Coturnix japonica: one gene and its partner. The protein of the gene in region 1 purifies or fractionates together with the protein of each later gene. This does not show direct contact. Links are inferred from orthologs where the notes say so. Each region holds a gene or a part of one and is shown on either strand. Other genes may lie near its edges.

The links.
Region 2: the proteins of C2H1orf35 (region 1) and RNPS1 purify together in Homo sapiens (co-immunoprecipitation; 3 studies listed by BioGRID and IntAct, with this or other methods). This does not show direct contact. The link is inferred for Coturnix japonica from reciprocal best matches to the Homo sapiens genes C1orf35 and RNPS1.

Annotation. Positions count from the first base shown.
Region 1 is NC_029517.1:2,066,723-2,081,714, forward strand, and holds C2H1orf35 (multiple myeloma tumor-associated protein 2), read left to right. Parts: upstream 1-5,089; 5' UTR 5,090-5,190; intron 5,191-5,214; exon of another isoform or gene 5,215-5,365; intron 5,366-5,925; 5' UTR 5,926-5,937; coding exon 5,938-6,031; intron 6,032-6,111; coding exon 6,112-6,262; intron 6,263-7,608; coding exon 7,609-7,654; intron 7,655-7,737; coding exon 7,738-7,817; intron 7,818-7,909; coding exon 7,910-7,982; intron 7,983-8,089; coding exon 8,090-8,169; intron 8,170-8,487; coding exon 8,488-8,631; intron 8,632-8,699; coding exon 8,700-8,913; 3' UTR 8,914-9,050; downstream 9,051-14,992. Other genes in the region: MRPL55 (39S ribosomal protein L55, mitochondrial), read left to right, coding at 3,902-3,927, 4,525-4,696, 4,788-4,931; ARF1 (ADP-ribosylation factor 1), read right to left, coding at 11,709-11,870, 12,234-12,358, 12,469-12,579, 12,772-12,919.
Region 2 is NC_029529.1:12,005,980-12,021,253, forward strand, and holds RNPS1 (RNA-binding protein with serine-rich domain 1), read right to left. Parts: upstream 6,970-15,274; 5' UTR 6,787-6,969; coding exon 6,785-6,786; intron 4,131-6,784; coding exon 3,975-4,130; intron 3,699-3,974; coding exon 3,507-3,698; intron 3,276-3,506; coding exon 3,173-3,275; intron 2,387-3,172; coding exon 2,233-2,386; intron 1,795-2,232; coding exon 1,653-1,794; intron 1,013-1,652; coding exon 907-1,012; 3' UTR 479-906; downstream 1-478. UniProt on the Homo sapiens protein: Part of pre- and post-splicing multiprotein mRNP complexes. Auxiliary component of the splicing-dependent multiprotein exon junction complex (EJC) deposited at splice junction on mRNAs.

The DNA of each region.
Region 1 (14,992 bases):
TGACATCTAATTCATACATGGCCACAAGAACAAGTTCAGTCATCAGCTGTCAAGGATCTGTTTTGTTGCTGCAGGATTAGTCCCACCATACATACATTACCATGCTGCTGAATGAGGCTCCATCACCCAAAAAGAAGAGAATTATAAACGATGAACAAATCCTTAGCAAGTCCTCTTGGGTACAGACCTTTGCTGTTCATCCCTGAGCCTCTGCTAAGCTGTAAATAGACCAGGTTTTCCCTAACTGCTCAATACAGAAAGCAAACACCTCCCCGCACCACCTCACCAAACTCCCATTCAGTGCCCAGAGCAGGGAAGCAATGCTGCTCTTGCTGGCTTTTCAGAGGCATCTCTGTCTCTTCTTGTTCCCCCCACCCATAAACCAGCAGTGGAGCATCACTGAACTGCTTGTGAAACGTTCCATAAGAGAAATACCCCACCCAATATACTGGTCTTCTCCTTCCCCTGGATACTTGCAACCATCTATCAGGCAAACAGGAATGTAAAGCTGCTCAAATCATTTGTGATTATTTCATCCAAGCCCAAGGAAAATGGGAAGGAATAAGAGAAACAGGCACGGTACCCATTGAGTGCTGCCTTCCAATGCACCCCTACCTTTTGCTTTTGCTCCCTCTCAGTCCGGCTCCTCGCAGTGGTGACAGGTTCTCAATCTGAGCAGGCAGACAGAGCTGAGCTATTTGTGAGCTGCCTAATTACCAAGCTGCAATTTTAAGACAGCCAATGGAAACTGCTCGCTGATCTTTAATCTCTTCTTGTGCTTTCTGCTCCACTCTCTGCTCTCCTGGCAGGTAAAATCACAGGCAAACACTGTTAACAAGTTGATGGGTGCCAGCACTTGCTGACACAGACAAAGCAGTGACCTAGCTTCATGTCCTCAGGGAATACCTGGTCTGGTCAGCCTCAACATATCACTCCAGCTTTTGTGTTTCTACAAGCCTCCTTTAAACCTACAACCTCCCAAATCCTCAGCAGACAGGACTAAGTTTCCTTCAAGTCTTGTATTGGAGGCTCGTGACCTCATAACTCACCCCTCCACCCGATAACAAACCCCTCCAATACCCAGTTTTCCTTCTCTGGATACCTGGATGTTAAGAATCTTGCACCTGTGGTGTTATTGAATTGAAAGCCCCCCCAACACACACCCCTTTGCTCAGATTTTGGCACTTCATTGATTTCCAAGCATGAAGCACAAAGCATCTCTCCTTTAAGAGTGGTTTTCAACCCAGCCTAACCACCACGGGTCCCCAAACCCACAGCAGTGTGGTTTTGCAGCTGCAGGTGAAGGCCGCATTGATGCTGTTGTGCCACAAACAAGAAGCACACAGGAAACCATCCCAAAGGCAGGGAACAAATCTCAGCCTGGTCCTGCTTGGTACAGCCACATTGAATTTCACCTGGCAGGTGGCAAGCAAAGCAGCACAAAGAGTTAACCACAAACAAAGCTGATTAGAAGAGAAGTCTTAAAGAGAAGGTAAACCACCCTACAAAGGAGAAAAGCAGCTTAAAGGACAGTCAGTCGGGAGCCCCAGCTAAAGGCTCCTGGATTAGGAATAAAATCCCATTCCCTATTTTTAGCATGTTCTCCACGAACTCCCAACTCCCCCTTTGTAACTTTTAGGACTGATTTCTTAACAGCTGCTGGAGCCACTCATTAACCAGGAGCCACAGGAACTATGTAGCAGGACACGGGGAATGGTTTTAAGTTAAAAGAGGGAAGATTTAGGGTTTTTGGATGTTAAGGCGGAACGTTCTTCACTCAGGAGAGTGGCTTAGGCCCCTCGGAACACGGCTGCACAGGGAGGTTGTGAATGCCCGCCGCTCGCTTGGAGGTGTTAGCCAGGTTGGACGGGGCCCTGGGCCACCTGATCTATGGGGTCCTCCTATGGGGATCTTATGGGGGTCCTATGGGGTCTTATGGGGTCCTATGGGGCATCTATGGGGTCTTATGGGATCTATGGGGTCCTGGGCAAACCTGATCTAGTAAATGTCTGGATGCTTTTGGTGCCTGCCCAGGCAGGGGGGTTTTGCAAAACTACATGATCCTTGAGGTTCCCTTTCAACCCAGGGTCATTCTGTGTGTGTAAGAAGCCAGAGCTCAGAGGTGAGTCTGCCTAACATGCCCTTGGGTTGTGGTTAATAAAAGGCACGGCTTGCTTTTACCCTTCCTCCAAACAGGTTTGCAGTGGCACGTTCTCCTGCCTTCATTAATTCTATACGGGGATTTCTCTGACCTGCAGCTGGCAATTCCTTCCTCCTTCACAAAGAAACACTGACAGGAGCTGAGCAGCAGCTGGTGGGCACAGCAAGCAACATTTTACCTGCAAATGATTACCACAAACCCACAAAGTGCTGATTTAGAAACACAGAACTGATGGGGTTGGAAAAGACCTTAAAGATCATCGAGTCCAACCGCAACCAAACCACCCTGCCCTAACTAACTAGCCTCTGCTCAAAATCCATACCCTGAGCACAACATCCATTCAACCAACTCAAGGATGGGATCTCAATCCCACTCCCTGTGTGGAAGAAAACCTCTATTCAATGATGTGATTGTTTGTGGTGGAGAGCTATGCGTTTTGCTGATATTAGGTGTGTTATTTGGAGAGGGGAAAGTAATAGAGTGTTGCGTCATTTTCAGCTCTCATCTCTCTAGATTTCTCTGAAACAGTCCCGCTAGGTCTTTGCTATGTCTCATAGGGCAACAATGTTCTCGTCTAAGCCCTTCTCGCGTGACTCTTTGTTGTCACTACTTCTTCGGACCCATGCTCCTAGTCATCTTGCTTGTTGTTACATGTTACTGAGGTTTGGCCTTGCAAAGGTCTTGTGGAGTTATTCACCTGCAGGGTCCACAGGTGAGGCGCCGTCACCAGCGTTTTTGATGACTTACTAAGTGTGGCAAGGATGACTTTCTCCTAAGCCGTGATTTGTTTGACGTGTGGTGAAACATTCCTGCATCCAAGCCCAGGAATGCCATGTGGGCCTTGTGCCTTGTGGCACACATGCAGGCCTCACATTCAGCTGGCCTCATCACTACACTCCCTGTGAGGTCGCTTACAGCTTTCAGCCCTCTGGCCTTCATAGTCCGCTCTGAGACGGGCAATGTATGCCTGAACTCTGCGTGCTCCCACCGACCCGAGGAGGCCTCAACCCCCCACCATTTTCACCTGCTCCTCGTGATACCCGACTCCCTCCCCGTCCGCTGCTCGTTGCCCTACCGCCCGTATCGCACACAGCACCGGCTCACGTGCCTCGCTCCGGGCGATGCCCCGCGCAGCCGCATCCAGCTCATGAGGGGGAGTACTGTGGGGAGGGGAGGCAAGCTTGGGAGGAGGAGCTCCGAGTCGCAGCGCGTCCTCGTCAGCACTGATGACGTCACGAGGGGCGCCAGGCGGGAAATAGCTGGGTGAGGTCACGTGAGTGGGGCAAACCATAAGGGCGGAGTGTGGGGGGGGACGGGGGGGAAAGACGTGGGTTTATTTCGTAAGAGGAAGAGTGAGGGACTCGAACAAGAGGAAGAGTTGTGATTTTGAAGCATCGCGTTGCCTGGTGTGTTGGTGGCGGGGATGGCGTGTTATGGTGTGTGGGGGGTGTCACAGCGCGCTGAACCATTGTGGGGTGTTTTGGGGGCCAAACCATTGCGGGGGTGTGGGGGGGGGCCATCTTGGGCAGGAGCGCTTGCAGGGGCGGGCGCCATCTTGAATCCGGTGTGAGGGGCGGGCGCCATCTTGAATCTGATGTGAGGGGTGGGCGCCATCTTGGGGCTGTCCCTGTGTTGTGGGGATGTCACCTCACGCCATCCATCCCCTGGTTCTGTTCTCAACCCTCCTTGTCCACAGGTTGTCCCCAAGTGGCAGCACCGCATCCCCTCGCATAGAGCTCAATGGCGGCTGTGTGGAGAGCGCTGAGGTGAGAGCGATGCTCGGCCATTGGGAGCCCCAGTGTGGGGTCTGAAGAGCGGGTTCATCACCTGCCCTGTGGTAATCAACCCTCACACACTCAGGAGATACACTATGTAGTTGGGGACACTATGTATTTTGGGGTAGTCCAGGCCCTGGTGCTTGGTGCTTTCCCACAGATCAAATTCAGGCAGGAAACTCTGTTCTCCAGTGTCCCATCTAATTAATGTGCCCTTCAAGGCCTCTTTGAAAACCCGTCCAAGGGCAGTTTGTTGGTTATCTGGATACCAAGTATTGCTCTGCTCTTGTGCTGTGAGACCTCACCTGGAATGCTGTGTGCAGATGGCAATGGGGCAGTGAGGCACAGGTTGCCCAAGGAGGCTGTGGATGCCCCATCCCTGCAGGCATTCAAGGCCAGGCTGGATGTGGCTCTGGGCAGCCTGGGCTGCTGGTTGGTGACCCTGCACACAGCAGGGGGTTGGAATAGGATGAGCATCATGGGCCTTTTCAACCCAGGCCATTCAATGATTCTATGATTCTGCAACCCTTACAGTTCCCTTCCAGCTCAAATAACGCTACAGCTCCATGACTGCTTTCCCTCTTGCAGTGCCCTGCAGCCCCGCTGCCTTCACACATCCTGCAGCCGCCACAACTCCAACCGCACCTCCATCACCCACCTCCGCCGCCAGGTGTTCGGCCGCCTCTACCCGCTGCTGCTGGTCCGCACCGACGGCTCCACCATCCACATCCGCTACAAGGAGCCCAAAAGGATCCTCATGGTAAGAGGTTCGACACAACAATGAGTGCACTCAGGGCTGTGCTTTGCTTTGGGTGCTGCAGCCTCACCCTCTGCCATCCCTCCCCCTGCAGCTGCCCCTGGATAGCAGCACGTTGCCCGAGGCTGAGCGCAAGGCCCGGCTGAGGCGGCAGTTCCCCAGCAAACTGCGGGTCAAGCAGGAGGAGACATTGGAGGAGCTGGATTTGGAGAAATACAAGAAATTCTGGAAGAAATAAAGCACCGATTTGGGGTCACCTCCCACCAAGGCCTCCTTACCGAGCTGACAGACGCAGCTATAGAAATAAAAGCCATTTTGTTAAGGATTTATTAGGGTTTTTAGGTGGTTTTGCCTCATTTTACGCCTGCTTTGGGCCGTTTCCCTCCCCCCTCCTCTTCTCCCCCTCCACGCTGCGGTGGTACCGTCCTCCACCCCTCCGGGCCCGGTGGTACCACCCGGGGAGGGGCTGCAGTGCGCGGGCCCCGCGGCCCGGAGAGGTGCGTGCCGTTGTTGGGGGGGGTCGGGCTTTGGGGGTCTCGGGTTCGGCCGTTTTCCCTTCCACCGTCTCTATGATCCCGGTGTGCGGCCCCGGTCCCCTCCCTCCCGTGCCCCCGAGCTGTGCAGCCCCCGTTGGGCTGTCCCAGCTCATACAGACACCCATTGCCAGTACAGGTAACCCCCCCCAACCCACTCAGACCTCCATTGCCAAGCTATGTGTCCCCTCTCTAACCTATGCAAGCCCATTGCCAGCCCGTGTGTCCCTAATGGGTCATGCAGTCGCCTTCCTCCAACCCACTACAGATCTCATGTCCAGGCTTTGCAGTCCCCCTCTACCCCAAACCCATTCAACCCTCCATCTCCAGACTCCAACCCCACTGATCATGTAACCCCCCCCCTCCCCAAAGCTGTGCACCCTCCTCCACCTCCAGACATTGTAGAATCCACCCCATACTTTACCCTTCCCCTCTATTCTTTACAACCCCCCCCCAGCCCCCACCACTAAGGCATCATCGTGACCCCTGCTTGATACCTAAAACCTCCTATGGCTTTAGGATTGCAATAGGGGGCACCTCCCTGCCCTCCTTCCTCATTGCACTGCAGGGGAACCCTTCATCTCCCTCATCCCACCACAATGCATTGCTGGGGTGGCCCTGTGCCTCCCCATTCCTCCTCCCATTGCCCTGCAGGGGCAGCCTGCTGTTCTGCCATGATAACAGGGCCCATCCTTTTAGCACCCCGTCACCATGTTCGGCTCATCCCGAGGAGGGGTCCGGGGGGGCCAGGACCAGTTCAGCTGGGAAGACGTCAAGACAGACAAACAGCGCGAGAACTACCTGGGTAAGGCCTTCATCCCCAGCCCTGCGTGTGGGGTGAAGATAAAGGACTGGGGATAATGTGGAGCTGTTGTATCCCTGCAGGAAACTCTTTGATGGCACCGGTGGGACGCTGGCAGAAGGGCAAGGACCTGACGTGGTACGCCAAGGGCAAGCAGGAGCCCACCCCGCTGTCCCGTGAGGAGGAGCTGGCGGCCGTGCGCCTGGCTGAGCAGGAGGCCATGATGGCAGCACTGTGAGCACCTCCCTACAAACCCCCTGTGACAACCCTCCCCAAAAATAGACAGTCTGAACTGTGGTGGGCATGGAACATCAGGCATAATGGAATCACGGGCATGGAACAGTGGGCATGATGGAATCACGGGCATGGAACATTGGGCATGATGGAATCACGGGCATGGAACGGTGGGCATGACGGAATGGTGGGTGTGGGATGGTGGGCATGATGGAATGGTAGGCTTGGAATGGTGGGCATGGAACACTGGGCATGGAACATTGGGCATGATGGAATGGTAGGCATGGAATATTGGGCATGATAGAATAATGGGCATGGAATAGTGGGCATGGAACAGTGGGCATGATGGAGTCATGAGCATGGAACATTGGGCATGATAGAATAATGGGCATGGAACGATGGGCATGCAACACTTGGCATGGAATCGTGGGCATGATGGAATGGTGGGCATAGAATGGTGAGCATGGAACATTGGGTATGATGGAGTGGTGAGCATGGGATGGTAGGTGTGGAACATTGGGCATGATGGAATAATGGGCATGGAATGGTGGGCATGGAACATTGAGTATGATGGAGTGGTGGGCATGGAATAGTGGGTATGGAACACTGGGCATGATGGAATGGTGGGCATGGAATGGTGGGTGTGGAATGGTGGGCATGGAACATTGAGTATGATGGAATGGTAGGCTTGGAATAGTGGGCATGGAACAGTGGGTATGGAATGGTGGGCATAGAGCATTGGGCATGTTGGAATAATGGGCATGGAATGGTGGGCATGGAACACTGGGCACGATGGAATCATGAGCATGGAACATTGGACATGGAATGGTAGGCATGATGGGATGGTGGGCATGAAATGGTGGGCATGGAACATTGGGCATGATGGAATGGTAGGCTTGGAATGGTGGGCGTAGAACATTGGGTATGATGGAATGGTGAGCTTTGAACACTGAGCATGATGGAATGGTGGGCATGGAACATTGGGCGTGGAATGGTGGGCATGATGGAATAGTGGGGATGGAATGGTGGGCATGGAACATTGGGTATGATGGAACATTGGCCATGATGGAATGGCGGGTATGATGGAATAATGGGCATGGAACACTGGGCATAATGGAATAATGGGCATGGAATGGTGGGCATGGAACATTGGGCATGGAATGGTGGGCATGGAATATTGGGTATAATGGAGTGGTAGGCGTGGAATGCTGAGCATGGAATGGTGGGCTCTCATACTCCAAAATGGGGTTTGGATGGTGCTGTGCAGAGCTGGGGTTTAGACTTGAGGATCCTTATGTGTCCATTCTGAATGGGGCCATGCTGTGACTGCCTGCTTCTGTCACTAGGGGCTACAAGAACGTGAAGAGGCAGCCCACAGGCCTCAGCAAGGAGGTGAGGCCATCCCCGCTGTCCCTATAGGCCAGGACATCCCCCGTGCTCTGTGTTCCTATGGGCTCTCAATGTTTTGCCCACAGGACCTGGCTGAGGTTTGCAAACGGGACAGCACAGAGCGAGCCGAGGACATGGACCGGGTGGTGGGCTTGGGCAGCTCCAGGTGAGCACTGAAATGCTGCATTTCAGAGCAGCTGTTTAAAAACAAAACACAACGTTTATGTTGGGTTTTATGGGTGTCATTTCTGCCCCCAGCGGCAGCGCCGGGCGGGTGATGCTCTCCAAGGAGGACAAGGAAGCGGCCAAGATGGGGCTCTCTGTCTTCACGGTACGTTGGGGTTGATCTGTGAGTTAATTTTAAAGGCAGAGGGACCTTTTATTTGGCCTGTGCCACTCAAAGCACTCACTCTGTGCTTTTCTCTCCCTATACTCCAGCACCAGAAGGTTTGCAGCAGTCCCGAGGCATCTGGATCCAAGAGGAAGCAGGACAAGGAGGAGAAGGAGGAGGAGAAGCGGTGAGGACTGTGATGCATCCCACACTGCCCAGCCCTGGTTGGTGGGTCGGAACCAGCCGGGAATGGCCCTGCTTTTCCTGGCAATATTGTGCTGAACCAAACAGTTTTGCATCCATTGCAGCTCGGTTTGGGCTTGTTCTGCTTCAGCCTGAATCCCTTTAAACCTCCGGGTCACCCTCAGAACTTCTTAACTTTTACTGTTTCTCCTTACTTAAGGAGCTCTGGTGAAGGCCCAGCAGGGCTGGGTGTTGGGTACAGGGGTTGGAGGGATTTTACAGCACGGGGACCCATCGGTGCTGCCCTATTCTGCTCCCACAGGACGGAGAGCAGCAAGAAATCCAAAAAGGAGAAGAAGAAAAAGAAAAAGAAGAAGCACAAGAAGGAGAAGAAAAAAGACAAACACCACAAACGAGACAACACCCCTTCATCCTCCTCCTCCTCCTCTCCAGACCAGGACGACAGGTAGTGTGCTCAGATGGGGGCACCCAGCAGGGCTGTGCCCACGGGGTGACGCCGTTCTGTCCCTACAGACGCCACCGGAGGAAAGGCCAGGACGAAGCATCGCGGCACCGGCACCGCAGACACTCGGGCTCCTCTCACAGCAGCGGAGCCTCGGGCAGGAGCCCGTCCTCTCACCGCCACCGACATCCATCACCGCGGCACAAGGGCAGCAGGAGGAGCAGGAGCCGATCTCCTCGATCCCACAGGGCCAGGCAGCGGCACGATATAGATTCGGATGACTGAGGGGGTTTTGCTGGAAGAGGTTCCATAGGTTCTATATATTTTTTAAGGTTGTTATCTAAATTAAAGTCACAGCTTTACAATTGCCGGGGCTGGATGTTGGGCACCAGCTGGTTGTTGGCTGTGTGTTACGATTTGGATGCTGTGTGTCACATCCCCTCTGTAGGATCTATGGGATGTAATTAACGATAGGGAGCACAAAGCTGTGTTGCTGTGATGGTGCTGCCGTCCCTCCCACCCAACACAGGCTGTTCTGTGTGTCCTGGCAGACAAACACCTCATGCAGGGACTGGTGTCACTTTGCACTCGGGCAGTTTTCAGGGTCTTCTGTTGGCCGAGGGGCTGTGACACCGCTCTGCCTGCAGCACACATTGAACAAGGGCTGCATTCATTGCAGTGGATGGGCTGGAATAAAGCCCTTCTGTCCCGTTCCCCTCTCAGCTGTGGGCATGTGCTTAACCCAGCTGGTGCGGGCAGCAGATGCTGCATGGACTCTTATTTCCCCTTGAGATGGTTTTTTTTTGGCAGGAGTTGATGCCCAGTGTGACCACAGTGTGAATCCTCTCCATCTGAGGGGCTGCAGCCCCATGTCCACACACCATCCATACAAATCCAGGCCTTCTCCATGAGCTCGCTGCTTTCAGGGTCACCTACTGCTGTTTTCAGGGGCCTGGGCAGTGAGCTGTACCTATTTCCTACCCCGATCCCATATCCTAAGGTTTGAGAAAGGGCTGTGAAGGATCCTCACCCCATCCCCTCCTCAGGGCTGAGCACCCATCCAGCCCGAGCTGCCACACAGGTTCCTGCAGGCAGGGAAGGATGGATGGCTAAAATCCCTGTGGGCCCGGCTGAGCCCAGGCCAGAATAAAGCTGGTGCTGCCTCAAAGGCTACTCCCGCATCTCACCCATCGCAGATAACATCATGTTCCCCATCTCTTCCTCCTTCCAGCACGGGCTGTATGACGTGCAACCCTCACACAGAGTTAATGTGGTGTCAGCTGTTGGTTAGTGCTGGAGCACAGCACAGCATCCACCTTCATGGAGGTGTGGGAGGAGAGAGGAGTTGGGAGCTCTGCAGAAAAGCCGGCCCTTCAGGTTCAGTCCCCTCCCAGAACAGGAATAAATAGATGCTCAGCTCGGCACGCACAGAGCCTGATTCAGAGCCTGATAGACAAGGTGAGACAAACAAACAGCTTGGAAAGAATAACCTGACTTACAAGGGTTTTGCAATCCCTTGTCACTGTTTGCTTAACACCGAGTACTACAAAGAGGAGCTCAGTGCAGGAGCAGAGCCCAGGCTCCAGCCACAAGGACATGAATAAGGTGAAGATGGGGCTACACATGAAGCCAACAGGGAGCGTAAAGGGATGATAGAGAACAAAACCAGTGCAAGTTTCATGAAACTTTTTATTCAACAAGTATCTCATTATGATTTTGCCAAGATGATCAAATGAACAGCAAGGCATAAAAAACATGAAATAGTTAAGAGATTTTTTTTATTCTAATAGCTTTAATTACAGTGCTCGTTTGTCGAAATGAAAACTGAAAACAAGTATACAAAACAGTTGATTACTAATCGTGTATTGAAAGCAATAAAGGTTTCCACAACACTAAACAAACCAGTTCTGATAGTTCCTCAAGTTAAAGTTGAACAGCTCCAGCTTCTTCAGTGTTTATCAAAATACAAAAGAAAAAAGTAAAGAGGTCTTTTGATTTCTGATGGCAAATCTGAACCTTGCAGTATGAGGGATGCCAAGGGTTTTCACACATATACAGATATGGGATCGAATACTTCTAGAGTGGAATGACTCTCCTAACTCTCATGCTCTTTGTATTCCCCTAGAGACTATACAGGATGTTTGGTGTTTCTCATGGCAATTCTTACTTCAGTACAGTACTTTCCGACTATAGAGCTTTAGGGCTTGGTGCAGGCTGTGCTTTCTGTGGGTAAGTTTTGCCTTCTGGAGTGGTTGACACACAAAAAAGTACAAAACACTTTGGACAAATAGAACAGGCTTAAAAAGGTGACTCCCAAGAACCGATCTGAGTTCGCTATGGATGCGATCAAATCTCACCCGAACCAAAAGGCGGAGGTTCAATAACTCACCTAAACCAGCTCAGACAGATCTCAGAGCAAGTAGGAACAAACGTGGGCTACAGGAAGAGCCAGAGATACGGTCGTTACAACCTGTGTTCAATGCAGCTCAACCTGGTCCCAACCGCTGCTTCACCGTTTGGAATCAGGAGCCAGCAGAGCTACAAGAGCAGAACTACAGCAAACCTTTGTGTCTTCAAGTGTTTGTTACTTTTCCTCGACTATTAAAAAAAAATAACCAAACAATCATCATCATCATCATACAATATTCAGGTTAAAAACCAACCACCAAAATGGAGCTCACAGATCTCACAACCCATCCGAGATAGAATTCAGCTCTACTGCACAAGGACCGCTGGCAACCCCTACGTTCAGCCACTCCATCCCTTCCAAGTACTTAAACAGTGAGTTGATTCTTTACAATAAAAAAAGCTGAGTAATATTGCATAGGAGTACCAGAAACTGCCTCATTGGAAACAAAAACTATTTACATTAAATAAGAAACCTAACTGTTTTCTGGCTTGTATTTGCCACATTTACAGCATGATGCAATATATACTGTGACAAAAAGAAATGAAAACAGCTTCCGGCACTCAATACCACAAAGTAGCACAGTTTGCCACATTAGAGTAAAGCGAAGGGCGAATAGGAGGAAATAAGAGGGAGGGGGGTGGAAAAAGAGGGAAGAGGAAGGTTTATGGTTTCATTTCTGGTTTCGGAGCTGATTGGACAACCAGTCCAGTCCTTCATAGAGCCCGTCTCCACTAGTGGCGCAGGTGGCCTGGATGTACCAGTTCCTGTGACGAAGAGAATGCAGTCCCAGTTTGTCTGTGATTTCTGCTGCATTCATGGCGTTGGGCAGGTCCTGCGGAGGAACAAGAGATGTTTGACTCACCTGCCAGCTGAGAAGCAACACCTGCCCTTCCTGACCTATCAGTTCTGACTGACCATCAGCTTCAGACCCCCTTTATTAAAGTTAGGAAGGATCAGAGTTACAGCTGATGTCCAGTTTCATTCACTTTTCATTCAGGAGCTGCAGCTCTGATTTGACCCCAGCTGTTATCAGCTCAGCGCTGCTTCTGTTCATACCCCTTCCTACATAAGGACTCATATCGCTTTTACTTCCCAAGTGAGCTGATAGAGCACCACGCTGTGCCTCCTTCCAGTTCACCCACAGAAGGAGCCTTTCAGGTATGAACACACACACATACACCTTCCTTTGGCGTACCTGTTTGTTAGCAAACACTAATAGAACAGCATCTCTAAGCTCATCTTCTGCCAGCATTCTCATCAGCTCTTCTCTGGCCTCGTTCACTCGTTCTCTGTCATTACTGTCAACCACAAAAATCAAACCTAGGAGAGAGCAGACAATAATCATTACAGCACGTGCTGCTTATATCTGGTACCTGGACATGAGAACGGAGCTGTGTTCTGAAGCCTGTGATGTAGGTGTTCACACTCACCTTGTGTGTTCTGGAAATAATGGCGCCAGAGTGGTCTGATCTTATCCTGGCCGCCTACATCCCACACCGTGAAGCTGATGTTCTTGTATTCTACTGTTTCCACATTGAAACCTGAAATAGAACAGGTCAACTGTGTTTATTTAATGTTCAGAGTCACTATTAAAAACATCACCTTGAAATTTAAGTCCCCTTTACATAAGCAGCCTTAAACTTGAGGGGCTCTGAACAGCCAAATATGGGCTGCCCAGCCCACAAGCAGCCCAACCCCAGAGCAAACAGTTGATATAGATATGAACGTCTTACCTATAGTAGGAATAGTAGTTACTATTTCACCCAGTTTAAGTTTGTACAAGATAGTTGTCTTCCCCGCAGCATCCAGCCCAACCATTAGAATCCTCATTTCTTTTTTGCCAAAAAGGCCTTTGAAGAGGTTAGCGAAAATATTTCCCATTTTGAGATATTCTTTCACTGGCCAGTGAAGTCTGCAGAAAGAGATGACAGTTATCACTTGTGAGTCACCAAAGGCTGTTTTCAGACCTGGGTACAACCAGCCACCAAAGAGGCACCAGATAATATAGAGCTGTGGAATCCCTGCCAGCTTAAGGTCTCACCACAAAGCACCTCTTTACCTGGTTTTAAACGCATGCTCACGTCTTCAATGTTCAGTTGTTCCTTCTTTTGAGAAGGAAACTGAGAGCCTGGATTGGATTCACTTCTACTCAGCACAGCTTCCTTCCTCCTGAAACCTCTGGGAGTGGGCAGTGAGCACAACGGCACACAAAGCAGCAATATTCCATTCACTGACACTGGAGAACTTCTTTACGGAACTAATGATATCTCCAAACCTTCAATACCAGAAATGACAGGGTTTCTCCCTTCACTTTGGACATTCAGAAGGGATCAACAGCTTCAAGAGCTGGGGTCACCACCATGAGGTTCTCTTGGAAGGTGCTGCAGCCCCAGTGCTGCTCTTCCACAAGGCCCTGCCATCACACACCTTAGCACTGCAGTCACCAAGAGCCATTATTCTGCCTGCATGAGATGCACAAAGCAGCCTGGAAGCTGTCGGATGTGGCTGGGGCTGTTACACGCTTCTACTGCGGCTTTGTCTAGCAACGCTGATGTAAGTTTGAAACAAAGAAATCAAGTCCAGCTGAAAAACCAAGCTTAAGGCAACAGGCGCATACAGAGCCAGGCCATGTAACGTTCAGGGGTTGGGTTTCCTGCAAACCTAGTCATAATTCAAGTATGAGCTCTGAATCAGCTCTCAGAGCTGCTCTGTGCTTTACACCGCAGCTGCTTGAAACTCAATTCTCACAGGACGCAGGTTTTCCAGAATTGCTGTTCAAGATGATGAAACAAGCTGTGGAGCTGCAGCCCAAAGCCTTGCCCTGCTGCTCAGCACCAGGAGGCCCCAGCTGCCCTGCCCCTCCCAGGAAGCGTGATGGAAATGACTGTGAACCCCAGAGCTGAGCTCTGCCACGTGAACAGTCACATGTCCCTCACGGTGCAGAGTCCACACTGAAGTTCCTACACGACCAACAGCGCTGCTGAAGTTGTAACTCGTATCAGGTTGCTCATTTCACACACTGAAGCTGGATGCGAATGGAACTTTACAGCTCCGTCAGCCAGAAGGGCGGCCTGTGGATTAAAACCAAATGGAAGCTCTACAAGTTCTATTCTTTCAGCATTTCCTTCGAATCTCTGAGCTGCTACCACGAATATTGAACTGCCACCTGAATCTATGGAACTTACATAAACAGGAAAGTTAATTAGGAAGTGGAGAAAACAGTCCTTGTTTACCCAGCTCATTCACAGCAGGAAATGTCTCTCCCCAGCAGCTCTGGCTGGGATGGAGGCTGTGGGCCTTGCCTTTGTCTGCTGCCTGTGCTGACTCTATCTGCTGCTTTATCTGCAAAAGAAAGCCAGGGCTGAAGAGTTATATCAGACCAGAGTTCTTACAATACACCAACATGGTGCTTGTGCAGAGCCTTAAGCCCTAAAAGAGGATCCCTCCCCACCAGTACAATCCGAACTGGCTGTTAAATGCTTGGCACCAAAGGCAGCCATCAGGTAACAGAACCAAACCTTTGCATTTACTCCATGCTTTGGAGAAGCCACGCTCTGCCCAACACACTGCACAGCCTTGGCTCTGACAGTGGTGAATCCCACATTTCCCTTCTGGCAGCTCACAAGTTCCAGGCTGCTGTGTAGGAGTACAAGATATCAGAAGCCCACGTGCAGAACTCCCCCATGCTGCTGTGGCTCCTACCAGAAAGCTGCTGGATGCTGCTGGGGCAGAAGAGATGGTGTCTGTCTGCATGTCCTTCCTCTGTCTGCATGTCCTTCCTCTACCAGCTTCAGTGCTTCAGAGCTGAATCTGCTTAGTTCAATTCTCATTTCACTCCATTAATCAGACCAGGACAACACACACATTCCAGCCCAACTCCAGCTCCTGCAGAGGGAGGCCCAGCACTGCCCCAACCACCCCTGTGTGCCTGCACAGCTCTTATTCTTGCTCACC
Region 2 (15,274 bases), on another chromosome or scaffold:
CCACTGTGCTCTTAAAGGCGCAGGAGCCCCGATTTCTCAACCCTACTGCTTTATTCGAGTCGCTCGTCCTACACAAGTACAAACACAACGCGGCCCCGAAGGCTACAAAGTCATACAAAACGACACGAAAATAAAGAAAAAACAACAAAAAGACTTTATAGGATCGACTGTACAACAGGTGGTTGGTTCTCTGCCTTTCCCCAGGCAGCAGCACGGCCTCAAGCCCCCCCTCTGCCTTGCAGTGGTTGCCCATCAGTTGCTAATGGGATTTGTAAAGCAGAACAATCGCATTGTTTCCTTATGGGACCGAGTGGGGCAGCAGCTACAAACCCGCTGGTAAGATTCGCAGCGTTCAGCAGGGTGCAGCATCAACCAGGAGCACTGCAGGACATCAATGGGCACAAACGACTCATTATTTGGGACTGGGAATAAAGCAGCAGCTCAAGGATCAGGTCTGTGATCAGGTTTGTGATCTGTTCGAGCCGCTCAGTCCCAGCCCTGAGGCTCCCTGTCCCGTTCTGCAGCGTTTCCAAACAGCTCGAGATCGATACGCTCACCCTTACAGCACACAAAGCATTGTGAACTCACTGGACAAAGGGGCCAGAGCAGCCCCGCACAACCAGCACAGGACACGGTGGGTTTATAGCCGGGAAAAAACAAAACTAAAACATAAAAATCGAGGCTGTTTGTCAATAATGCCAATTCAATGCCAGGAAACTTCCAAGCCCCGCAGCAGAGGCTGCCCAATGGCCGGGAGCTGCTGCCGTCTCCTCTCTGTTACCTCCACTGCATCCTCTCTCTCCCCCTCTCTCCCTTCCTCTCCTAGACCCATTATAAAAAAGGTACAATATTTATTTTCGCGGAATTTAAGTTAAAAAATAAAAAGCTGTCCATTCTTTTTTTGCTTTATCGTGACGAGTTGGAGCTGGAGCGGCTGCGGTGGCGCCTTCGTCCCGGAGACCTGGACCGCGAGCGCCGGCGAACAGGAGACCTGCGGCGCGGGGAGCGAGACCTGGCAGGAGGAGGAGAAAGTTCCTGTCAGGGCACAGGGAGCAGCTCCAGGAAGGTCACCTCACCTGCCACCTCTGCTCATTGATTCCTTTCGCCCCCTTATAAACCACTGTGAAAGATCCGACAGACAGCAAACCGCAGGAAGCAAAAGGGCAACTTAAACAGCAAGATCCCAGCAGGGATTTTCTAGCTACCACCCTCTGCTTCACAGCTTGAAAGGCTGCTTCATATCCAAAGAATAGACAAGAATCTTATTTTCTGCTTCACACAAAACAAACAAGTTTGTTCTAAGTCAGACTCTCCTCGATCTGAAAGGTTCATCTGAGACTTTGGCTCCTGAAATATTGTTCAGTATTGACACAGCTCACACAGCACCACAGACACTTCTCACAGGAAGCTCAGCTCTAAAGATAAAGTGCTACAATTAGTCTGTACAGCCACCAGTGTGACACCAAGGTCCCAGGAATGGAATATTAAGAACAATCTGAGTTCAACTGACACCCAGAAGGTGACTGCTTTGTTTTGAACTGTCATTTGGAGTGGACAATCAACTCCAATGAGACGAAGCTGTCCTGGCACTGGGACTTCATGACAAATTCTTGTTACAACAAGAAGGAAATAAGAAATGCCACAGCTCTCACCTTCTCCTCATGCGAGGGGGTGACCTGCGCCACATGGGGGGTGGGGGCAGCATCCTCCTGGGGGGGCTGAAGCGCCGAGGCGGCGGTCTGGGCCGTGGTGCCAGTACAGCTGTGGCAGTGATCTCCTGCCCATCGATCTGCCCTGTTCAGAAAGTCACAAAAATAAAGTTAGTGTTTGCCAGCACCAACAAACCAAGTGACAGCGATTCACAGCTCTGACACAAGCAGCACGACCCCGTGCTCCTATTTCCACTACACTCTGAAGTTATACTGACCAAACCACACACACACCAGACTTCTTCACCAAGTATCCCACCAGACATGGATCAGGAAGGATTTTCACAAAGATTTAAATGATATTTTGTTTGGAAAAAAAAAACAAAACTATCATTTTAATAGTTCTGTATTTTCTTTTCAACCTGTCCTGAGACCATACAAAAGCCCCTCTGGGCTGAAAACAGAATGACAGCACGTCAGATCAGTTCCCCAAAAGGCAGCCCATCATCTCCATCTCATTTTCACATCAAATCCAAAAACTTCTTTCAAAGCACTCAGCCTCCTTGCAGCATTTGACACCTACCTCCATCCATGTGTTTCAGGGCTTTCTCAGCATCATCTGGGTTCTCAAACTCCACATAAGCGTAGCCTTTAGAGAGGTGTGGATTTAGCCTGTCAACTGGCATGTCAATCATTTTAATCTTTCCATAAGTGGAAAAAATTTCCATGATGTGATCCTGCCAAAAAAGAGCAGAACTTAAGGATGTACAGCACTATCACTGAGCAGCTCTGGCTGGTACAGAGCACACAGCACCACATCAGCTTTGAATCAATGCCACCTGCAGGAGATATATTCCACTGATCAGGTGTGGAAAGGACACTGAGATTACCACATCCTCTACTGACATCTATGTCTGTTTCACTTCAGATCACTCTAATCCTTAACAGAATTACTGGCTGAACACCACCACAGGCTACAAAAGCTGCACTAGTGTAAAAACCTTCCTGGGGACCTTAGGAAAGTGAAGTTGTGTCCTCACTTAGAAAGTCTTAAGGTGCAATTCTTAATATTGTGTTTTTAAATAGCATTTTTTCAGCACCCTAAACTTGTATTTCTGCAGACCTTTAAACTACATTCTAGCAAAGACAACTCCAGCCAGTCCAGCTCTCCTGAAGCTCCTTTTGGTGAACCCCCCAGGTGTCCTTAATGCCTCCCAGGTGATTTCTACTGCTGTACTGACTTCTACAGCTTTCTTCCTAGGAAGGTGGAGCTCTCGGGTACCAATAAGGCAGACAGAACTTTTAACACTACTGAATTACACAAGCCCACAGTTAATTTGACTTGAGGAAGTTCTACTGAAGCATTCCACGCTCATCAGTTTGGACACAAAGCAAGCATTTCCAACAGCAATGTGCTGGCAGTACACCAGCAACAAAACAAACCTTGAAGGCTTTAAAAAAAGCCACCAACACACGCCCACAGGGGTGCACCTGCGTGGCATTACAGGAGAACATGCCATTACCTTGGTGACGTTTCTAGTGAGCCTCCCAACGTGCACTTTTGTAGGTCTGGGTGATGGGCTGCGCCGCTTCCGCTCCTTTTCATCTCTCTTCGGTGGCTTGGACCTGATTTGGACATGAAAACATTCACAGTTTTCAGGGGAAACAAGACGACAAGAACTAGAAGCTGGCATCCATTTTGACTGCCATTAATAGAAACATGCCTGTTCTAACAAAATTCACATCTCTAAGTTACGGAGAATGCAGACCATCCTTGGTAAAAATCTGTTTGATCACAACCTTGTATTGCACAAGGAACCTGCTCTGTAGGAATTCCTAAAGACAACATGAACTCACTTGGAGCGGGACCGCCTCCTGTTGTCATGTCTCCGTCGGGACGGACTGGGGGATCCAGAGGAGCTGCTGGAACTTGAACTGCGTGAGGTGCTGGAGCTCCCAGAGCGGCTTGAGGCAGAAGAGGAGCTCGAGCCACTGCTGGAACCAGTGCTGGAACTGGATCCTGAGCTGGAAGTGGAGCTGGAGCGGGACCTGGTAAAGGAAGCAAAACATGAGTGGAATACCCAGAAAAAGAATGGCTGAAGCTCTTCTCCTGGTAGACAGAAAGCAACTGCAAGTTACAGCAATGAAAACCGACTCTCCATAGCTCACTAATTCCACCATACTTCACAACGGTCAAAACCCCTTCCTTTAATCTTTCCATTGTGACCAATGCAATTCAAAGGTTGTGTAAATCTGAGCCGTGTGGAAGTCAGCAAAAGGTGGCTCTGAAAACATGTATTTGTTACTGCCTGTAATGGTAGCTACCTGGTGCTGCTACTCCCACTGGAAGCACTGCGCCTTTTGCGCGTCTTGTCCCGACCACGATCCTTTTCACCCGATTCCTTAGTGGCTGCTTTGTCCTTGGATCGGTCCTTTGATTTCTCTTCAGACCTATCCTTGCGTTTGGTTGGTGAGGGAGCCCTTCAAGAATACATGGCAGAAGGGATTGTTTAATATGGAAAACACACTCAAACAAGGAACAGAACAGCAACACAAAACACTGAACTTTAAATGTAATTGAAGACACCAAAAGAGCAGAGTTAAAGCATTAGGTAAGTTCGAGCTTTTTAGGAAAAAGGAAAATGTGTTACATTGCAGAGTAGCAGCTTTGCGGACAGCAGGTCCAGCACACAGAACTTACTGTCATGTGTAAGTTCACCCACAGAGATATTTTCAACTCCTTACCCTCACTGGGAAAGCCCCAGTACCCTACAGCATCCCCGCTTCCAGCAGGCCTTGAAAATCTGGAATGATTACCTAGTGCTGGATTTTTTGTTATTTTCTTTAAGACCCAGCAAACTCTTCTTTTTAATTCCCATTAACTCTGTTTCCCCTTCAGAGGTATCCAAAGCAAAACAGGCCTCACTTGTGCCAAATCTCAGTTCTAACCCCTTGCTTCTGAGAAGTGACCCCTAATTGAAAGCAACAGAGCAGCCAAGTGACAAGGTAAGAGTGTTCAGAAACAAGATGAACAGACACAGAAGAGCAGAGCTGCTGTGCACCAGTGGCAGCACACCAGAGGACAAGTGTGTTCTCCAGGGCACTGCAGCCAGGCACAGCACTGCATGGCAGTTACATCCAGCCCCTGGGCCAGCTCAACCTTCATGGAATACAGACCTGTATGCGTGTTTAAAGTTACAAATTGTGATATTCACAGAAGTACAAAAGACCCTCGCTATGTGCTCCCCTTGAAGGCACACAGAGGACATTCATCTCCTACACACGGCACACATGCAGCTCCTGCCTCTTGACAACATCCTCATCTCCAGAGGAAGCTCTGGTTTCTTCCATAGTCACCCTGTGCAGCAAAGCACATGCTTGGCAGGAAGAGATGGCTGCTGAGTAACAATATAGGCTGGTTCATTGAGCAACAGAGATCAGTATATTAGTTTGAGGAGCAATATATTAATTCAGCAAAAGGAATCAATGAGCACTAGTCCTAAAACTCTCCACTTCTGCTTTGCCTGGTGTGTGATCAGCCTTGTTTTCTCTCAATTCCCCTTCATAAGCAGCACTGGAGTCACGACAGACCACTGGTCATTGTATTTCACCAGGGGCAAGGACGCTTTCCTTGGATTTCCACACACGTTGTTTTGGAAGTTGCCCATTATGGCCTAAGAAGCAATGGACGTTTGCAAAATTGGGGAAAACCAGCTCCAGGTGAATCAAAAATGTCAGTGATGGAACTGATGGTGGAAAAATGGGGACAAAGTAAGTGGGCATACAACCAGCAACCACCCTCAGTGTAACTGTGCATGCCCAGAGGAACACGAACATACATTAATGAGTTATTGGAAGAGAATGAACGTGTGTGCCAGTGTGCTGCATGTGTAACTATTAACTGTTTACATGTAAAACCTGAACTCTGACAGCTCAATTCCAAACATTTCCTATGAGAGGGCTGCATCTATCACATACTCTAATGATCACCCAGTTCCACCTCTCTGCAAGATGGGAAGTGAGAGCTCAGAAGCCCAACAAGTGCTTTGCTAATGTCCTGCCTGCTGCTGGAGAGCTGGGAAGAGCTGCATGTAAACAGCACCATCAGCAGCACTCCTGTGTGCACCCACAGGGCTGGCACTTACCAGACTAAACAGCCAAATGCTGCTTACACATCCAGCAACCTCCTGTGAAAGGCTGCTTTTAGGCAGCCCTTAAGGTAACCAGTGTTCTTCTTTCACCCAATGAACACAGACCTTTCCCAGGACAGTTTTAGTTGGAAAGATCAGCCTGGGAGATGCAGCCTCTGGGCACTTTCACTTGTAGGTGCTCAGGCATTCACTAAAACACACCTCCATAAAGAATAACACCGCAGCATGAGCACATTAAAACAACACAAGGAACTTCTAAGCAACATCCACCCTTCCAAGAATGGAAACCAAACCCGACATCCCCAACATCTCAGTGTCTGTGCAGCACCCAGCCCAGCCCAGCCGGCCTCGGGGCACTCTATTAAGCTGCCCATTCCCTGCACACAGTCAGCTATGAGACCTATTCTTACAGAGAGCTGCAGCCAAGGCAACGACCTGGGCTCTCCCTCAGCCTTCCTGCAGGGCAGGCGCGCCCTGCAACGGCAGCTTGTTTATAGTTATATGAACAACAACTATAGCAAAGTTTTCCTCGCGTGATTTAAGGTCAGCCCGCTCGGCAGCTCCTCTCAACGCCCCCGGCCCAGCTCATGGCAGCGCGGGGCCCAGAGCGGCCGGGGCTCAGCCGCTCTCAGGCTGCGGAACGACGCCGGGCACAGCGAGACCCGCGGGTCGCTCCCGACTCGCTGCTCTGCCGCTGCCGGGCGCCGGGACCACCAGGCCCCAACTCCGCTGCAGGCCTCAGCCCCGGCTCCGCCCCGGCCCGGCCTCCCGCCTTCCTCCCCGCCCCCGGTAGGCCGCGGCGCCATCCCTATCCCCCGCGTCCATCCATATCCCCTCCGTCGGCTCCCGCCCGCTCCCCTGGGCAGCCCCGAGATGCGGCGGTGCCGCCCCGAAGCGGCGGCGGGGCGGATGGAGGCGGATGGAGGCGGATGAAAGGCCGATGGCGGCCGATGGCCGCACGGCGCTCAGCCCCAACACACTCACATCCTCGGCGCTCTCAGCGCTCCGGGCCCGGCGCGCGCGATTGGCGCAGAACGAGCGGGAAGAGCGAACGTGTGGCGAGCAGTGATGACGTCACCAGGGGGGAGGAGGGGAGGTGGGCGCCTTAAAGGGGCCGGGCAGGGGATCCATGTTGTCCTGCTGTCACGGTCTGTGGGCGGCCCGTGCCGTTATGGGCACCGCCATGTCCGCCTCATCATGTCCGTGATGGCTCCTGACGAATGGTGACCTTCCCAATGCATAGCTGGCTCTCAGTGTCAGCAGCTGGACGTGAGCCTTTCCCTATTGCTCCAGCAGAGCACAGCAAGGGCTGAACTGGCTCTTAAAGGAAATAAGATCTCAGTGGGTGTGGGTGCAGCTTTGGAATGGCCACCAGCCCCCCAGAGAATACAACAGATGGAGGTTCAGCTGAGATGCTGCATGGGACAGCAGACCAAGTGCCAGCGCTTCTGGGGATGACACTGGGGTGGGAGAAGCGGATTTACGCTCATAGTTAATGATGTTTAATGGGCCACAGCACGAGGGGAAAGCTTTGAGCTCCCACTGCTTTGGGGGGTGTCGTGGTTTTGTACTTGTTGCTGTTGGTAATTCCACATCATGGCTGAGGTGACAGACACTGCACCACGTCCCACTGGTGACATGGGCACTGTGCGCAGCCAAGGCTGCGTGGAGGCGGCCAAGGTGCCACCAGGGACATGGAATGAGTGGGAGGGGACGTGGGGAGGTGAAGCACAGAGGCTCAGGTCAGCAGTTCCAGCAGGCAGGAGGCACTAAGAGCTCAGTGTTTATTGGTTTTGCTCCGATCACGCATGGTTCATACAAGGAACGGGCTGACTCTGCTGTGCACACAGACACGTGCTGCTGGAGGCTGCCTTGGGAAGACTTCCAGGCACCCTGAAGCAAGGCCAGGGTACCCAACTGCCGGTGCCTGGATGGCCATGGGAGGTGTGAGGTTGTTGGCTGTCCCCAGCCTGTGCCAGCACCCAGCTGTGCTGAGCTGTGCTCAGCCGTGTATGTGCTGCAGCAGAGGCATCTCTGAGCTCCTCCCTGTGTTCACAGGATCTTTTCATTTTACTGCTACTTCTACAGCGCAGGCTGCTGCGTGTGCTGCTTCTAAAGCTACTTCCGCAAGCAAGTCTAACATGCACTGCCCTCCTGAAGCTGGAGACTTCCGTGCTGCTTCCAGCAAAGCGCTTTCAGGGCTGCTGGCCTGTCCCTTGTAGGCTGAGAGATGTCAGGCATTTGCTGCTTGGGTGAGGGGTTATGTGCTCATCCGAGGGGCAAGGTGAAGTATTCAGGCTGGAGTTTGCAGCCCCAGTGAGGACACGCTTCCCACCCTTAGGATTAAATGTTGGGCCTTAGGAAGACTGGGTGAGCTGGGGCAGAGCTACAGGAGCTGCAGGCTGTGTGTGCTGCCAGGAGTCTGCCTGGAAGGGCAGCACCACTCACAGGGCGACCCTGGCAGCCATTGTCTGCTTAGAGGCTATTTCCAGCACCTTTATGCTGCTCATCTGCATCCATTCTAGATGAATCCCGAGGAAATCCTCACTATTTGTCCACTTCAGCTTTTTTCCTTCCCCCATTGCTGGCTGGAATGGCTGTCAACTGTGAGATCTGTAGGGGTGTTTTTTTCTATTTTTCCTGGCAGACTAAATTACTAAATATCACAGGGACTGAAGCACAAGGATGTTAAGCACTCGCAGCAGATGAGGGAGCGCTGCAAGGCCTTCGGGGCAGCCTTTACATTGCAAAGAAGGGACTGAAAAGCCAGTGGATGGGGTTTAGTGGGTTACAGATCAGCACCCAAAGCATTTCTACCTACTGTTTACTCTTCTTCCCCACTGAGCCTCTGTCATTGTCTCCCAGTGTCACTGGTCACATCCAACTTCTCTGACTTTCAAGTTCTGCCATATGGGAGAGGGCTTTGGAGAGGGAAAACCCTCCAAAGCCCCAACACTCACTGGCTCCTCTCTGAATCTGCAGATATTGAACTGAAGCAGCAGGCAACAGCTTCTGCCCGGCACCCCCTGATGGAGCTACGTGCTGCCAGCCCCCGGTGTCAGTGTGTGTGCAAACCCCATCTCAGTTCAGCCAGAAGGGTCAAGCCAGGCAGCTGCCAGCTATCGATGTCCTCAGGTCCTGGAATAGCTTTGCATTCTGCAAGGTACCCGAAACAGGCACTTATTGCAGTGCCTAAGTCAAAAAGAAACTGGCCAGGCCAAATCATTTGGTGCTTCTTGAGATTCTGCCTTCTGTTTTTAGGCATTGCTTTTTTCTCTTGGTGCAGGGCAATGCCTGCCAGCCCCAGCAGCTGTGCTGGATGCTGCCAGTGAATTCCTGATTAGATCAACACTGCAGCTCTACAAACAAGATGGAGTGTTTATTCTCAAGAAACAACAAACGTACCTGACCTGGCCTCAGCACAGGGCAAGCTCTTTGCCCTATCTAAAGTGGAACTGCAATGTTGAGTATTCCTCCTCCCCTCACCCGGGTATGCCATAAAGATGCCCTGACCCCTCCCTCCCCCACCAAACCCCTTGATTCACTCCAGGTCTCCTCCAGGAAGGCTGCAATGCTGCTAAGTTCTGCAAGCTGCCACCACACGCCATGGAAACCGGAGCTGTTGGGGAACAGAAGGAGAGAGAGTGAGGCTGGACTTAAGTTGGTACCCAGAAACAGAGGAAGCACACAGAGACTGCAGGAGGAGGAGCAGGAGCACGTGCTGGTGGGCCACGTCCTGGTGGGAAGGCAAACCCAGCAAGGCCACTGCTGAGGGTGGGCTCTGCTTCTTCTCAGGGGCAGCTCTGATGGGACCAGGCACTGCTGGTGGGCACTTAAACTGCTCCCCAGGAGCAAACCCCCACTGCAGGGCTAGATTCACTTCAAGGCAGATGACAGCAATGGCTATAGAGGTAAATTTCTGTTTCTGTTACATTCACATGTAATGACCACAGCAGAGGGGTGTCACAAGCTGTGGCCACCTAACCCCACAATGGAGCTGTAGGCAATGGGCAGCGAGGGGAGGGACACGTACCAGCAACTGCTCTAAGTGCTGTCGGTCTCAGGCTGGCTGGCTGTTTCACGCCTGCAGGAAAGGAACAGAAAAAAAACATGCAGTTACTGAGGGGAAAACAATTGCATCCTGAAGTGAAAGCAGAAACAAACCAATGGAACCACCCTTGCAGGGAGGATGCTTGCTAGAGCAGAGCAATGGTCCTTAGCCCAGAGATTGCAGGTGAGACCTACTGATATATCATAGCCTAAGGACGTGGCAGCTCAGATCATGGGGAGCAAAGTGAGAACCTGCTGGCAGCATCCCACTGCTTGGCTGGGGTAGTGCTCTGTCCTGACTGCCATACTGGGGATGGGAAGGGGACAGAGCCAGAACCCCACTGGGTTGCTCTTTGCCTGCTTGGTTGCACAGCTCTTTGTACACTGACAGCTCCAGCCTGAACTCTCATCTTATTTGCATGGGTGTAAAACCCAAATGGCTTCAGTGTCCCAAGCTGGACTTAACACCTGAATGAATAAGACAAGGGCTGAGCTGTGGCAGTGCAGATGAGCAAATCAGCAACCTGAATGAGCAAATCAGAAGCCCTGATAGAAAGAGACGTCCTCTTCCCAGCTCACTGCCTCCTGGAGGTGGGCTCTCTGAATGCCTTTTCTGCAGTGTGCTGGGAGGCACCAAGAGCCTCCTCCACTCTCCCCACCTTCCTCTGAGCTGACGTTGCACTGGTGCAGCTGCCAAGGAAAGCTCTAATTATAAACTGGCAGATACTTGGTGTGCCTAAGGAAGGTTACTTCAGCTGTCAAGATAACCTGATGCTCAGGGGCTCTATGTCAGCTCTAAATTGCCCTGACAGAGGATTTGGGGTGGCTTACTTTGCAGAGCCAAAACAAGGCTAAACTGTATCATTACACATGCATACCATACACACATGCTGCATATGATACAATATATTGCATACAGGTAGTGCACCACAAACTGCACGACAATGGAGTGTGGCTGTGCAAAACCGAGCTCCCCCAAGCTGTGGATGACAGAAGTGTTCTCTGAGTGCATCTAAATGTTGAGTAATGAAACAGAGGAGAAAAAAAGAAACCCAAGCAGGTGCTTTTTAGTGGCTGAACAGTACAAGGTCACACTCTTCTCTTGTTTGCACAAAGCTATTATCCACATTGCTCTCCTATTTTACCCAAAGTGGCCAGGAAGCTGTACAGACAGTGAGAGCACACCTGGGGCTCCCATAGGTGTGATTACTCCCCATCCCACCACCTGGGTCATGGCAAATTTAGGGCTGAGCCCACTCTCAGTCCATTCAGCTCTGGTCCATCTGCATGGCAGACACTGAGGGATGAGCCTGCGTGCAGTGGCTCTGCCACAGTAATGAAGCCTTTCCTATTTGTACCCAGAGCACAACTCCCAGCATGTCTGCACAGCAACGGAGGACAGCTCAGACAAGGCAGACCAAGCTGCAGTGCCTTGCATGGCCATTGCAGCCCAGCAGGATGCTGGCCAGATGCTGGGTGCCATCAGGGGCTCAGCTGCCACCCAGAGGCATTGCACTGGGAAAGACCCCTCCATTTCCACTGCATTTCCCCAGACAGGACACAGAGTGAGTGATGGGAACCCTTGCTGACATGCCAAGCAATTCAGGTCACTCATGAAAACCTTTCTTCACTGGCCCACATCAAGGAAGGAAATGGTGCCACCTGCCCTTCAGTTCTTCTCCTCCTGTGTGGCCTGGGCTCCTGCCACACATCAAAGGAGGAGAAATATCCCAGGACTATTCTGTGTTCCCCCACATCCCCCATTCTCACAACATCACCTTTCCCTCGCCCACTCCTGCAGCTCCTCTCCTGCAATAGGAGCCACCAACAACACCAGGAGATGCCAGCAGCTCTCCTGTCACCCCAACCCCTCGAGGACACATCTGAGCTTAGCAGAAACAGAGCCCAGGAGAGCAAGAAAACAAAGGAAGGAGGTTGCAAGGAATGCTACAACCAAAACAGGGGTGCGCACGGAGAGCTGTCTTTACCAGTGACCCTCACGGTATCTCCTGGAAGCAGTCGGGTGCTGTCTTCTCCTCGCATAGGGATCTGTGTCTACCGTCTCCTGAACCGCTTGTTCTGGAAGCAGGACAAAGAGAGACACAGCTCTGTTGATAAGCTCCTTGAAGTCTTCAGCAGGCCCTGCAGAGGTTTGTGTGGCAATAGCTGCTGGTGGGGCTAAGGAGGTTAAGAATGGCTGACTCTAGTGCTGCATCCCATGTAAATGCTGTACTGACCCTTATCCTTGGCTGAAAATACCTCTATCCTCTCCAGCTTGATTATGATTTTCCAGTGGGGTGGTACATTTGGAAACCCAGCACATTGACCTCCTGAAATCACAATCACTGCACAGCACAGGGAGATCACATCCCACACCCTCTCCAAGAACCAGAAGGGGTTTCTGCAGCCATATTTTATCTGGCCCCACGCAGGCAGAGCTGGGGACTCATTGGCTTCCAGCACGCTCACTGTCCTTATGTGCGCACAGAGGAATGGTCACCAAATGGCTCCATGGCCACATCACTGGCCTCTCTTCTTCTTCATGCTGGCCAATACATCTGGCTTGATGAGTGCAGCACACCCTCCTCCAGCACCTGAAGTTGTCTTTCCTGCTTTCCTGGGAAGTGCCTCACCTGCTCTGTTTCTCACATCGGTTCAGGCAGAACAGAAAAGCACAAAACAGAATGGCCAGAAATGGGCCCCTTTTTGGAGAGCTGCCATCAGTGCGTTGCTGTTCTGTCTCCTCCTGGCTCACTGGTGAGCTGCAAATCTGTGCCTGTGCTTTGTGTGTCGCACACACATTTCACCACTGTCAGATGGTGCACACACAGTTACTGTGTTAAATGCGTGTGCAGGTGACTTAAGTCTGTATATAAATAAGCTGAGCTTTCCAAACATAAATCTGCAGGGTTTACATGAGGAGGAAGGAAGTGGGTGAAGTGGCTTCACCCGTGTGCGATAAAGCAGAGGAAATTAAAATTATGAGGGCTTCCTTCCCTTTAACACACACAATACTAAATTGCTGGCAAGCTGCTCAAGTCATTCAACACATGGCCCAGCTGGTTGGAGAGCCGGCTTTGCAGTAAGCTTTTGGTGAGGGGCTCCTTGGGATATGAGGATCCATCTCTAGAGATGCTGCAGACCAAAGGTAAGCGTTTGCAAGGATGCTCACAATAGGACTAGTATACCTATTTAAGTATTTAAATGGTTCAACAGGCAACGCTGGTATTCACAAGTGACTGCATCTTTCTAGAACACAAACAGGTGGGATGCCAAGTGCAGGCGTCCAGTGCGAATCACCCACTGTGTTTTCCTACTAACGCTAAAGGGGGAACAACCAAACCCAGGGGGAGGTGAAGGAGGCCAAAGTAGGTTTGGAGGTGAAAAGGTTTCAATATTTTCCTTGTAAGAACAGCATCTGCACTAATAATATATTGGTACTGATAAATGCTTTTCTCTCAGCGACATAAGATTTCTTCTAAAACAAAACATGGATTTAGTTATTTCATGTTGTTAAAAAACAAACAACAAAACATTTTTGTGGATGATAGTAGCAAAACATCTAAAGCTTCCAGAAGCTGCCACCAAAGGTAGGTGTCGACTGCATGTTTTTGAGGGCTGGTTGGGAACCCACAGGTTGTTGAAGGGCTGAGACAAGCACGAACCCCACGCGGCCCATTGTGGGAAGCCCTCCTTCATTTAACCAGATCTGCCCACTGAGGACTCAACTTGTGATCTCACCACTTCCACAGGAAGGAAGGGCCTCTTTGTATGGGGACAAGATAAACTTTGGTTTAGAAATCAGCAACACCCCCTGTGCCTACCAGATACTGCACAGCACTCACAACTGGACTCTGAGCACTAACGAGGAAGGAGCCTGAACAGTTGGCTGGAAGTACAGATGTTCATGCACGAGAGGGCAAAGCCAGGAGTGTTTCACCCCATCACTTCTGGTTGAAATGGCAAAAGCACAATCTCAGAGTTTGGCCCAACTCACCAATCTCTTCCACAATATTCTCAGTGCTTCCAGGAGGAGTGGTTCTCTCCTGTTCAGAAACAAAACAAAACAAACAAAAAAGAATAACAACCTCAGGTGGGTGCCTCCTTCACCTGTCCCTTTGCTCTGAGAGAAGAGCAGGAAGCCCTGGGGCTTTCCCCCATCACTTCAATCAAGACCACGGGCACCACAGGAGCAGAGCTGGAGCCCTTTTGCTCTCAGTTGCCTTCAGCTGCTGCACCCAGCAAAGTGGTCTCCATCCCATCCAGAGTGAGTCCTTCAGTTATGCTGCTGTGCAACCACATCCCGAGCAAAGTCCTTCTCAGATCTTTTTTTCCTTAAAAAAGCAACATTCAGAGACCCAAAAATTGGCACTGCATGCTCCAGAGTTTGGGTGAAAGTGCAAAGAACAGCCACTGCTCATCCTTCCAAAAGACACCACTGGCATGGCTGACATGCACACGGAGGAACGACGACAAACTCAGCAGCCACAGCATAGAGAGAAGAAGATGAACTGGGAAAAGAAATGAGGCCAAATGGCATTTGAAGCTTCACAGAACTTGGAAACACAGACACTGATCCCCAGGTGGTGAGCGTTTGGGGCTTTGTAGTTTGGGATAATAAAAGAAACCGTCCCACTGACTTCAAAAGATCAGAACAAAGAATCCCTTCCTTTATCCAGGGAGAAAAGAACACATCTCTAAGTTGCTTTACTCTACACGCAAGTATCATTTTTGGTCCCATCCATGTCAGCCACATGCTGCTGTCACTGTCAGTGCCCTCTGCTGCTGACAGCCCCTCGTTACACTGCAGCCCCACTGCAGCAGCTCAGATTCACCCTTGGGCACAGAGCAGCTGAACACAGAAATCACCTTTTAACCAACCCCAAAATACCTTCTGGGCTCTCGACTGTGCCTTGCATGTTCTGTGCTCATCCTGCTTATGGCAGCTTGGAAATGAATGTGTCTTAAGGAAGAGGGCTGCATAGGAGCAAGGGAGGCACAAACATGCAGGGCTGCAGCCAGCTGCCACGCTTTGCTCTCCCTCAGCAAACAGCACTGAGTGCTGCCAGCAAAACTCTGCTGCAGCTACAAAGCAGGAACAGGGATACAAGTGGCTCCCGAGCTCTCACACGAGTATTTAATGATAAGGATGTGTTAGATTGTTTTCCTAGAGCCTATGGATTACAGCGGATCAGCTGCGAGCCCAGCGCCTGCCTGCTGATGCTGTGAACAGCGGGTTTGCATTTCGGGTCAGCTCACAGGCGGGCGCCCTTTGGGGTCACTCCTCATAGGCTTGTAAAATAAATCTCTGTGCTCCACTCCTGAATCTGCTTCTCTTGTCTCCAAGCACAGCCGTGGCTTACTGAGTTTCCTTGCAGGGAGCTGGTGCAAGGAGTCATGTTCTTTACTCGCATGGCAGGCACA